3 linked regions of the Coturnix japonica genome follow. The protein of the gene in region 1 interacts with the protein of each later gene in a biochemical or structural test. Links are inferred from orthologs where the notes say so. Each region holds a gene or a part of one and is shown in the gene's direction. Other genes may lie near its edges.

The links. The genes of interacting proteins can lie anywhere in the genome.
Region 2: the proteins of DNM1 (region 1) and SH3GL1 form a complex in vitro, tested with the Homo sapiens proteins (2 studies listed by BioGRID and IntAct, with this or other methods). The link is inferred for Coturnix japonica from reciprocal best matches to the Homo sapiens genes DNM1 and SH3GL1.
Region 3: the proteins of DNM1 (region 1) and SH3GL2 form a complex in vitro, tested with the Homo sapiens proteins (2 studies listed by BioGRID and IntAct, with this or other methods). The link is inferred for Coturnix japonica from reciprocal best matches to the Homo sapiens genes DNM1 and SH3GL2.

The regions. Positions count from the first base shown.
Region 1 is NC_029532.1:3,788,254-3,791,814, reverse strand, and holds part of DNM1 (dynamin-1), read left to right. Parts: intron 1-220; coding exon 221-319; intron 320-1,008; coding exon 1,009-1,169; intron 1,170-1,272; coding exon 1,273-1,415; intron 1,416-1,498; coding exon 1,499-1,634; intron 1,635-2,381; coding exon 2,382-2,449; intron 2,450-3,238; coding exon of another isoform or gene 3,239-3,377; intron 3,378-3,561. UniProt on the Homo sapiens protein: Catalyzes the hydrolysis of GTP and utilizes this energy to mediate vesicle scission and participates in many forms of endocytosis, such as clathrin-mediated endocytosis or synaptic vesicle endocytosis as well as rapid endocytosis (RE).
Region 2 is NC_029543.1:1,611,372-1,615,467, reverse strand, and holds the start of SH3GL1 (endophilin-A2), read left to right. Parts: upstream 1-1,242; 5' UTR 1,243-1,657; coding exon 1,658-1,729; intron 1,730-2,693; coding exon 2,694-2,762; intron 2,763-2,872; coding exon 2,873-2,945; intron 2,946-3,684; coding exon 3,685-3,828; intron 3,829-4,096. UniProt on the Homo sapiens protein: Implicated in endocytosis. May recruit other proteins to membranes with high curvature.
Region 3 is NC_029547.1:29,706,819-29,711,163, forward strand, and holds the start of SH3GL2 (endophilin-A1), read left to right. Parts: upstream 1-1,491; 5' UTR 1,492-1,637; coding exon 1,638-1,682; intron 1,683-4,345. UniProt on the Homo sapiens protein: Implicated in synaptic vesicle endocytosis. May recruit other proteins to membranes with high curvature. Required for BDNF-dependent dendrite outgrowth.

The DNA.
Region 1 (3,561 bases):
CCATCTCTGTGGTAAAAAACAGGAGTGTCTGAACAGGGTATAGCTGGGAACTGACCTCTGTTACCTGGTGCTGTTGTGACCTCTTGGCTATTATGGGAACTGTGACATTTGTGCCCAAGAGCCCTTGTAGCCAAGCTGGGCAGTTTGTAAGCTTTCTGAACAAAGGAAGGTATTACACAGCTGTTTTACTTGATCATATTTTACTTGTTCTTTTATTAAGGGCAACGTACTATTGGAGTCATCACTAAGCTGGATCTTATGGATGAAGGAACTGATGCTAGGGATGTATTAGAAAATAAATTACTTCCTCTTCGCAGAGGTACGTTTCCTCACGCTCTGTGCATGATCTTCCTTCATTTTCCCTATATTTGGTATCTTTGCCTCATTCCTTTTCTTCAGGGTTCCTGGAACATCTGTTATGGTGTGTTCTTAAGCCAGCTCTGTTCCAAGTCAGAATTGAGAAGCTGGGGAATGGGCATGAGTCATGCTTAAGGAAAAGTAATTTTTAGGTATTTGTATCTTGATAGGTAGTGCTAGAAGGAGCATAACCCCGTGCTCTTATCTTTACTTTCTTCATTATATTTAATAGGCAAGCTGCAAAAATGGGATTCCTGTACTATTCTCCCCCCGCACCCCAAGTCTCTTATTTGATGGGATTACTGTAGTGCTTCAGGTGAAATCACATTTCCTGTGCTGTGCTATGTGCTGTACATAACCATAGTGGAATACCTGTCCTAAGGACATGAACAGAGAAGTCCTGAATGGAAATAGGGTGTTCTTAGTGACTGGGGGAGCAGTGATCAAAAAGCTAATTCTCAGTTGCATAGTGGCATTTCTGTCCTGTATACCAGGGAATTCCAGTTTTAAACTCTTCTGCTTGGTCCCAGATGTGTTGTCCTTAAGATTTCCCATTTGCAGTGTTGTTTCCTGGGTAGTTTCCTTCTCAACCTGAGCCCCACTTACATTTTCATCCTTGTAACTGCCTGATCTTTAATGCCATCCCTGCAGGTTACATTGGTGTAGTCAATAGAAGTCAGAAGGACATTGATGGCAAGAAGGACATTCAGGCAGCTCTGGCTGCAGAGAGAAAGTTCTTTCTCTCCCACCCAGCCTACAGACACATGGCTGATCGTATGGGAACCCCCTACCTGCAGAAAGTATTGAACCAGGTACCACCACCAATTGAGAACTGCTGCCCACTGTGCCCTTTATTCTGGGATAGCGTCATAGCAAATTTCTCCCAATTTCATCCTAAACCTTCTTCCTGCACAGCAATTGACCAACCACATCCGTGACACCCTGCCAGGGCTGCGCAACAAGCTGCAGAGCCAGCTGCTCTCCATTGAGAAGGAGGTGGAGGAGTATAAGAACTTTCGCCCTGACGACCCAGCTCGCAAGACCAAAGCTCTGCTTCAGTGAGTGCCCTTCACTGCGTGTCCCTCCCTGGAAAAGCCTGCCTGGCTATGTCTGCTACTTCCTGCTTTCTGTCTTCATTTAGGATGGTCCAGCAGTTTGCTGTGGACTTTGAGAAACGCATTGAAGGCTCTGGAGACCAAATTGATACCTATGAGTTGTCAGGAGGAGCCAGGATTAACCGCATCTTCCATGAACGTTTCCCCTTTGAGCTGGTGAAGGTACTGTTTCTCTGTATGCTTTCACCTTTTCCTACCTGTTTTCTTGTTACTTTTTACATGTTTCACCATCTATTTTCCCTTTTAACATTTGATGCTGTCACCTTATTTTTACTTCCTGTTGTTGGAACCTTCCCATAATACTCTCCTCTCTTAATTCCTGTCCTTGTGAGATAACTTTGCTTTTTTTTTTTTCCCCCCTGGTTAATATTTCTTTTGCTTTCTATTGCCTGTTTGAAAACATTAAGAACCAAAACATTCTTCTCTATCTTCTGCATTTTGCTGTTTCCTTTTTCATTTAAATATGACAATTCCTTGTTAGTGTAATACAAGAGCCTGCCTTGTATTAGATGATGTAATTCTGTATGTGAATTTTAAATCTCTTGGAGGTGTTTTCTGGCAGACAGCTGCCAAGACCTCACATTAAGCCTCAGGAGACAAAGCAGTTTGTTTTGGAAAGCAATCTAGTGCTTCAATCTTATTGCTTTAAGTAGCTCCTTGGGAGCTGCTGGGAGGGTTGGCACCTGTAAATGCAAGCCCTTAGCTATTCTTATCTGTTCATTTTTGTCCAGGATGTCTGCTTTGGCAATACAAGCTTTATGGCTGGACTCTACATCCGACATCTAGGCTAACATTCACCTGTCACATAATACTGGCATGGGACCTCCTATTGTGTAGAGCGTGCTGTTAGGTGTGCTGGGGTTGTGCAAACATCAGCCTGTTTCTGATAAAAACTCTCTCTTGGTGCAGATGGAGTTTGATGAGAAGGAGCTGAGACGGGAGATCAGCTACGCCATCAAGAACATCCATGGTATCAGGCACGTATCATGCACTAGGCAGACCACTGGCTGCGTAGTCTTGTAAATACCTCTAGACCTTCCCAATGGAGTTGAAGACTTCAGAGGTACGGTAGGTCAGCCATAAGGGAGAGGACTTCCTTGGACACCCTGGTGGTTTGAATCTGGGAGTAGGGATGAAGTAGCTGCTTTCTGTTCCCATATGAAAACTGCTGAAGCCTAAAAGGTAATGCAGCTGTGGTTACTAGTTTTCTCCCTCCTTGTTTCTACATAAGAAAGGACTGAGGGATGCAGGCCTGTACTGCTACTTAATTGAGTTTTAAACGTTGGTTTTCACATTATGCTTCCATTTTTACCAACATTCAAAACAGCTGCTGATCCTGAGCACCTTCCCTGGAGATCAGAGGGAGCTTTAGGGTTCCCATCACCAGGATTCCAGCAGCCCCAGGGGTTGAGTCCTAGGGCACAGTCAGCAAATACAGTTTCATCCCCACTAAGTGAAGGTTAACTGCCAGAAAGCACAGTCCGGGGTCACTGAGTGGTGCCGTTCCTGGGAAGGTGACCAGAGACTGGTGCCTGTTGTCCAACTGGGATCCATTTTACCCTTACATGTGCCTCTGGGGAGGTGCCAAGCATCCCTTTTTATTCTGGATTCCAGGACTGGTCTGAGGGTTGTGATGCTCCCAGCCCTGTGTGCGGGGTTTCAGTGGTGGTGGTGCCTACACTGAGATGCGTGTGTAACGTGACATTCTCCTTGCCCCTTCTCCCCCCCCTTCCTGCCTTGTCTTGTCCCCTACCCTGGGTGTTTAGAACCGGTCTCTTCACACCCGACATGGCCTTTGAGACCATTGTGAAAAAGCAGGTGAAGAAGATTAAAGAGCCTTGCCTGAAATGCGTGGACATGGTTATTTCGGAGTTAATCAATACCGTTAGACAGTGCACCAAGAAGGTAACCGGAGGCAGCATGGAGCTGGCACCTTCCACCCCTCTCTCTGGCTGCGGCACAGCATTGTGACCGGGGCAGGGATTTGCCTGCAGTGGCACTCAGTGTTTCTAACCACCTCCTCAGCATGACTAGACCTGAGCAGTACCAGCCTGGGACGATCCAGCCAACAAGCCAAACAGAAAGGGAA
Region 2 (4,096 bases), on another chromosome or scaffold:
ATTAAGCTGGCCATGTCCCTGGCTCACATCCTTGCTGGCAAAGGAGGGAACTTGCATTAGTTTGTCCTCTTGCCTGGCAGATTTGGGACTGTTGGAATGGAGATGGCACACAGTCCCTCCTTCTTTCCTCCTGAGATGAAGCCTCGTAGCTTAATTAGAGCCAGCAGGGAGAAAACCTCAGTCTTATTCTTCCTTCACAGCAGGGCACCAGTAGCATTTCTTGGATGTCAAAAGGAGGATTAAATTAGCCTGCAAGCGAATTTTCCTCCTTCACATCTCTGTGCTCTCTGAGAGAGTGCTAAGCCTCCAAAATCACTGTGGTGATCACCGTGTACAACATGGCATGCAGTCCCTGATTATGGCAGAGCTCCCCATCAGAGGCAGTATTTGCAGCTTTCTGGGCTGCCAATCTGTGGGTGGGTGGAGAAAAGCAGGGATGGAATTACTCCACTTAATTGTACTCTTCTCAGGTTTATTGCAGAGGGAAGGATCTTTCTGGAGGTGCTGCTCTGGGCTGTGTAGAAGCCCCTTTCTGGTCATGGAGGCTGCATAGCGAGCTGTCTTTTGGCATAGAAGCACAAGAGTGGGTGGTGGCAGCTGGGAGTGAGTGCCCACACAGGGTCTGGAAAGCAGAGCAACCGCTTTGTGGTTTATTTTCCCTGCTCCATAGAGGAATGTGTACTTCCCCAGCTCAGAGCTGGCAGGCAGAAGTGTGTGCTGGCACCCCAAGCACAGAGCAAAGATCCAAAAAAAGCAAGAATTCAAGTTTTGGTTGTTTGCCCATCTGCAGGCAGCTCTGCAGTGATAACACCCCTTGGAGCCCCTATTGCCTCCTGGCACACTCTGAATCCATAGTCCTGCACTTCCCATGTTCTTTCAGGTGCTGGAAAGAAAGCTGGTGAGGTCAGGAGGGCTGTGCATGGACCACTGTGAGGCTGCACACACAGAGGGATGTGTGAAGATCCATCTGGGCATCCATCTGAAAATGAAATCCAGAGTTGAGAGCTGGGCTGGATGAACCTGGAGAGCACTGACCCCAGTGTTTAAATGCCCAGAGGAACCACAGCGATCTCTTTGTGAAACATCTGAGGTCCCCAGAAAGAGAAAAAAGCCCTTGCCCAGGTGAAGTGAGGCCCTGAAAGGCTGCTGCCTTCTATCTCAGTTCTTTCAAACTCTTGCTCTAAAAGGATATTTTGGCCTTGGGATGATTTATGCTACTGTTGCTCAGTGCAGAGCTGTCATTCAGAAGAGCTGTCTGCTCTCTAAGCCTCTTCCCTGTAATGTCTGCGTGCCTTGAAGCTCTGAGCAGCTGCAGATATCCATCCACTGAGGCACGAGGAGCATATCAGCCATAGCAGTCAGTGCTCAGCCCAACACCTTGGTTTGCAGCTCATCATTTGATTTTGGAACTAAGCACTGCCCAGTGAGTGCAGTCACACGGACCTTATGGGGTATCTCTAAGTGCATTTGGAACTGGATGTTTGCCTAAAGAGTTTTTTTTTCTCCTTGTCCTCTAACAACTAAGGAACCACTGAGTCCCCATGGGCACCACAGGAAGAAAGACTTGATAAAATCAGGTATTTGATGTTGAAGTAAACAAACCTTCATTGTTTGTCCAGAGCTGGAGTTTTGACTACAAGCACGAGGAATCCTGGCAATGGCCTGTGGCGGGCATCAAGAGCTTGGGAGGCAGCAGCCATTTCCTAGACCACTTTTGATATCTGTGGAGGTAATTTAGTGTGCACGGACCCATTTTGGGGCCTGGCAGTTGCTTGTGGATGTGTTGCAGGTAGCTCTGGCCAGTCTATTGAACCCCAGGTGTTGCCTTGCCACGAGGGAACAGGGCAGGAGATATCCCCCTCCATTTGGGTTGCATGGAAGGACACTTCTTCAGTTGGATTTAATAAAGCACTTTTGACACACGTCTTTGAGCTCAGGAAGGCGAATGGTGAAGCTTTGGGAAGAAGTCTTTTCTTACACTAAATGGCATTTTGAAGCAAGCCGATAAGCCCTTCATGCAGATAGCCAAAAGCAACCCTGCCTTTCCAGCTGTGTCAAACATCTCGTGTTCACTTTGTTTTAGAACAGACGTCAGAGATACCTTGATAATTGGATCTGAACGTTTTCCTGTAGCTTCTGTAAATCTCTTTATCCTTCTCTTTAAAAAAATCTTGAAATACAGAGCCCTAGATCCTAAGCTCTCACCATCTGGATTGCAAGGAGTTGTGGTTTAAGGCTTTGAGTGGTTCTTTCTGAGCTTAGTTCTTGTACTGGCTGCTGCAAGCAGAGTATCTTAATTCCCTGTTTACTTGCATTTTGCCTTGTGTGAAATTAAAGTTGAGAGACAATGCTGTTGCTTGCTTTTCCCAGCAAGCGTTGGAGTTGGAGCTGTGCTTATGAATTTAAAGAGCTTTGTAGCTTCTGCCAGGTGGGGAATATCCTGCCTATGTCTGAAGGTTCAGCTGTGGTGCCTTGGGAGGGTAGGGGACATTTAGATTGTTTAATGGGACAGTGTTAGCAAAGAGCCACGTGTTGTTACCATGCTTTGGGCTGTTCCTACTGCCTCCTTTCTCTTGCAGGCGCTGTCTGGACCACCCCTGTTCTCTTTCCATCCCCAGGACTCTATACCTCTCTGCATGAGGTAAACAGCCACTACCATGCCTGATTCTTCCTGCCTTGTTCTTTTTCTGCAGCTTGTCAGTGAAAAGGTTGGAGGGGCAGAAGGGACCAAACTTGACGATGACTTCAGGGAAATGGAAAAGGTGAGCAAGAGATAGGAGAAATCCCTAAAATCACCCATGTCACCTTCTGTGACCTTGCCAAAATCCTGAACTGATCTTCACTGCTGCTGGATCATCTTGTTTTCCTACAGAAAGTGGATGTGACCAGCAAGGCAGTTACAGAAGTACTGGCCAGAACAATAGAATACCTGCAGCCAAACCCAGGTGAGTGGTGGGACCTCTCCTATCCTTTGCCTCCCAAAGAGGGTAAGAGGGAAATAGGCAGAAGGTGCAGAGAGACCTCAGAGAGAAACTTCACGACCTTGAGGTGTGCCACCAAGCCCATATTTGTTATCAGGTATTCTGCCTACCTTTACCTGATGTATGCTGGGCTGTCCTGTACATTTCCTGTGGCTTTCCTAATAGTCTGAGCCTAATGAGGTCCTACCCTAGCTCACAGGTGCTTTGTGATTGTAAAGCCATCTCGACCAGTGATGTATTTCTGGGCTGAAAGACACTGCTGTTGCTGTCAAACAGTGAATAAAACAGACAAATCTTTAACGTTGGATCTAGGAGAGATCTGGAGGGGACCTATTTTTACCAGGGTGTCCAGAAAAAATATAATCTCTGGGTTGGGAAGAGTCGGTTGGCTTTGTAACCACCACCTCCAGAGCCTGCTGCCCTGTGTGTTTCCAAGCAGCTTGTTCAGAGAATGCTCCAGGGACTATGGGAGGGCTGGGGAAACTCCTTTGGCCTTCACCAGTTAGCTGTAGGGATCTATATTTGTTTGCTGCCTTGGAAAAGAAACTTTACTTTTCGTAGCAAGTGATATTTCTGGTAGATTATGACAATAGCACTTCTTGGCTTTGGGAGTCACTTAAAAAAAGTGAAGTGCTGGCAGTGACCAGCAGCTGCTGGCAAGTCCAAGCAATTACAAACACGGCTGTGGCTGTTTCTTTGCCAGCTTCCAGAGCCAAGCTATCCATGCTGAACACAATGTCGAAGATCCGTGGGCAGGTGAAGAGCCCAGGCTATCCACAGTCAGAAGGGCTGCTGGGGGATTGCATGATCCGCTACGGCAGGGAGCTGGGCGAGGACTCCAACTTTGGTGAGTGCCCCGTGGGGCTGCTCCCTCCAGGAACGTGCAGATGAGACAGCAAAGTCCGGTGCCAAATTTCCAAGCTGTTCCTCTGGATTCCTAAAGGGCTCTATGACCCTTTGTATCACTTAGCAGCATGTGCCTTTGGTCCAGGCCAGTAACGAGTGCCAGATCTATAGCAGTCTCAGAGCAAATGCATGGCAGCGGCTGTGCCTCATTTCTTAAACCAAAACCAAGGGTAAAATCCACAGCTCAGTGCTGATGTGCTTTAAAACTG
Region 3 (4,345 bases), on another chromosome or scaffold:
TGTAGTCTTTTGAGGACTGCTCTCCAAAGCAATGATCATGGCATCGAACTGCCTGAGTTCAAGATGTGTCTGGTCAATGCTCTCAGACATATAGTCTGAATTTTGGATGTGCGTGGAGCCAGGAGTTGGACTTGATGATCCTTGTGGGTCCCTTCCAGCTTGGGATCTTCTATGATTCCATGACTAGCACAAGAAACTTCCTTCCACTCCATATCATCTCAGTGTTCATCCTCTAAGCTAATACTAAAACTAAAATGAATGGATGTGTTCTGATGTTGGTGCAGGACTAGATCGGAAACAAATGCCTCCTACTGTGCCCACGAGGAAGCCATTATGCTCTTCCAGTCTGCTCCCCACAAGCAGAGAGATGTTCTTTGCCACTCTCCATGCTGAGCAACGCTGGTGATACTTCTGAAAGCACCAATGTGATTTGCATTCACAGTCCTTTCTCCTGCTGCAGTCCCTTTCAGAACTGTGCTTCAAAGTTGGGTGCTGTGATGTCACCACTGACCCATACTTGATGATCTTCGAGGTCTTTTCCAACCTGGGTAATTCTATGATTCTATACCTCATGGTATGAGGTGATATGTGGGCCCTCACAGTGCCTGTTTTCTTTAAGTGCACCAAGCATGTGTGCTACACCACAGTAAGTCCACATGCAGATTAAAAACAGCTCCAGGTATCTCTCAGAATGTTTCCATCCCATCTCCTGTGATCTGTGCTACCTAGCTGCTGTGGGATGTTAGTGGGGATGGATCTGCCAGCGCAGCATGGCTGCTTTCAGCAGATGCAAGCTTTCATCCCAGCTGCGCTGAGATGCAGCACACATCCACAGCGACTGGCCCAGCCTGCAGAGAAGAGCTGTTACATTTGGGTCACACTGCTTGCATTGTTTAGGCTTTTCCTGGCAGAGCCTCATAATTACTGCTAATTACTGTTCTGCTAGTGTTTATAGCACATCTGACCAAATTGCTAAAGCACACATTATTGACATTTATTTGGGTTTGAGGCTCTTTACCTTCAAGCCAACAGCCACACCAGTGTGCCAGCAGTGGGGCAGGCTGTATGTTTGGCTGCCCGTGTGTCACTGGCATTGCAAGGGGAGAAGAACACACATACTGAGGGCCAACAAGGAGGCAGAGCTGGCATCATCCCACTGAGACCAGCTAGGCCTGAAGAAACGGCATGCCGACACCCGCATCCCCCGGCCCCAGGTCTATCTGTCCATCACTGCCCACCGTCCCAGTCGAGGCGGGTTGAACGGCGTCCCCGTGGGGCTGCACGGGATGAGGTCCACACTGCTCAGGAGGGACCGTCGGCAGTGGCCCTTAGGATGCCGGCGGGGTCCCGCAGCGCCGCCTCCGCCCGCGCCAAGGCTGCTCTCGTTCAGCGCCGCCGGGGCCGGGGGCGAGGCGGGGGCGGCCCGGGGCTGCGCGGGGAGGCGGTGCGGCCAGCCCTGACGTCAGGGCCCCCCCGCAGCGCGGCCGCCGCCTGACACCTCCCATCGCCGGGCGTGCGGGGCTGCGAGCAGCGGGCAGCGGCAGCAGCAGCTCCTCGGCGGCGGGACCAGCCCCATCGCTCCTCGGCGCCGCTCGGTTCCGCTCGGCTCCTCTCGTCTGCATCGCACCGCCCTCGCCATGTCGGTGGCCGGGCTCAAGAAGCAGTTCCATAAAGCGACCCAGGTACCGCCTCGGTCCCCCCCGCGCCGCTGGGGCCGTGCGCGGGTGCGTGGAGCGCGGCAGCGTGGCGCAGTCCGATGCGCGGCGCTGGACTCAGTCCGGCTGCCCAGCCCGCATCCGATTGCACGGGCGCTCGTGGGCTGCGCGTGTGCATGGGTGCGCGTGGTGTGAGTGTGCACGGGTGCGTGCGTGCACGGGTGTGCGTGGTGTGTGTGTGTGCGCGGTGCGTGAGAATACACGGGCATGAATGAGAGCACCGCAGGCTGCTCCGCCGCCCCAGCCGCACCGGGTGCCGGTCTCGCAGGGACTGACTGGCGCAGCGGCTGCTGGGGCAGGTGCCCGCGTGGGCGTCGGACCCGTTCTGCGGTCTGTGCACTGGTTCTCCATCAGAACGGTTTTAGGTTGGCTTTCTGAATCAGACCTTTTAAATTATTTTTAAACCCCCCCCCCAACTACCCTCCCTTCACCACCCCCCAACCCACTTAGGTTACAGACAAAATCTGAATAATGAGATTTGGTCGTGTTGCTTTAGGCATGGTGTGTTATTGCAAGGAGGTCAGGGTGGGTGTTTCACCCGGCTGCGATTTGTTTCATAATGCAGAGTCTGTATGTTGTAGTCTGTAAGGGTACAGTTCCTGAATTGGGCTCAGACTTGGTGTGTTCTGGGGATGAATCCAAAATGGTTTTGTAGAAGCCTGGGAAATTTATCTGAATTTACAGACTGTAGTCCAAGTCTTGCGTGAAGCTCCATTATTTTCTTTGCAAGTGAGCACAGAACTCCTGGTAATTTTCACTGACTGTCATTACATCTTCAGGTAGCAGTGTATGTTGCTGTAAGCAGCCCCTAGGTGCAGACTTGCAGATACAGCAGCCATTAGGCTTTTCAACACCTACGCTTTTTCCTTTCTCATCCATCTCTTCTCTTTCATCTCATCTGTTGCTGCAATGTGGAGAGATGCACCTAAAGGAATGAACCCTTACACAAGAATTAGTCCCAACTTTAGTTCTTGCTGTCTTTGCAATTATACCATACCCATTCTGACTAGAAATGCGGTGGGATGTGCCAAGTCCTCCACAGGCCCGTGCAGGAGCAGGGTGACATTGTGTCTCACCTTTCATAACAAATTACATTGCATCATTGGTAAAACAGACTTCACAGAAACCTGCTGTTCTCATGACAGATGCAGTAAGGAGTTTTTAAGTGTGCCTGAGCCCATACTGTAGTGTCCATCTGCTGCTGCTACTTCATTTTATCACTCTCTGCTACCTATATCAAGCCCAGAAATCATCACTGCTATTTGAGTTCTCACACTGATAAGTAAGAATTGCAGGATCTGTGTCATCCAGAGTTAAGAAATAGGCAATCTGAAGTTTACTTTCTAGTAGCGTGCCTCAGTTCACCATTATTGTAAGTTAATGAATGTGCCTCTGCAGCAGCAGGGTGCACATCCCTTTTAGAGGGAGAATGGTCTGTGAGTGCTGTTCTGTCCTTCAGATGACATGCTCACATGGACTGTCAGCAGTATTGCCATGTAGAAGGAAAGAAAAGTTTTAGCTGGCTGGAGCCAAAATAGTATATTGCTGATGCCAGATTTAGCAGCCTGCTATCAAATGACCCAGGGATTTTTGGGCCCAGCCGTGACTTTCACAGACTGTTTGTATGCAGGGCATGAAGACACATTCATGTATGAGAATGACTCACAAGTAGGTTGCAAGACAGATCTGTTTATTGGCTTGTTTTAAGCATGAGTGAGAAATCCAGGCCTTGGTTGTGCTGTCCTTACCCCTGGGAGAATCCTTCTGATAATGGATTGATCCCCAGGCAGAGTATGGATAGGCATTGCCACTGTGAATGGAGATTCCCAGATGGGATGAAACAAACTGGAAGTTTTAAAGACTCTGAATCTTTCCCATCATTCTTAGACATGTAAGAACTTGTGTATGATGCACAGTTGTACTGCAGTCCTAAGTCACACCTGTAACAATTTCAAGTTATTTCTGATGCTCCTTTTAATTCAGTAAAGCATTTGGAAGTCTTTGGCTTAGTTTCTTTCATCCTTTTATGTTGTAAAATTAGTAGTCCTTTTACACACGAGTGCATTGTGAGTATACAATGTTATTATTACAGAATACTCTTTCAGTTGTGAAAGATTTGTCTCACTATTTAAATGTTAAAAAAATGCTATTTCGGCAATAAGTCCCTGGCAGAAATTGAAATAGTATGACTCCTATGTCTAGATTGTTTAATTGCTAAGCAAGTGTTTTGATTTTATATATATATATATAAATACATATTTGACTTGTGAAAGGTCAGGCTCACCTGCATTAAATAATGCCACTTCACAACAGAAATCATATTGAAGACCTTAATGTCTGTCAAATTCCTTGCACTAACTGCTTCAGGAGTACATCATTGGGAAGCAGGTGGTAGCTTTGCTCCATATGGAGTGAATGGCATATTCACCCCATTTGGATTTTAGACAAAAAAAAACATGGATGGTTTTACCTCTGTGAAACATCATAAAGTTTAGAACAAATATTCCTGAGTTTGTGAAAACAAAAGTGAGTCTGTAATCATAAAATTCCTTCAAAATTACAAGAAATGAGGCTGACAAATGTTGAAGTACAGAACAGGCTACATTACACATTTATGTGTATTACCCACA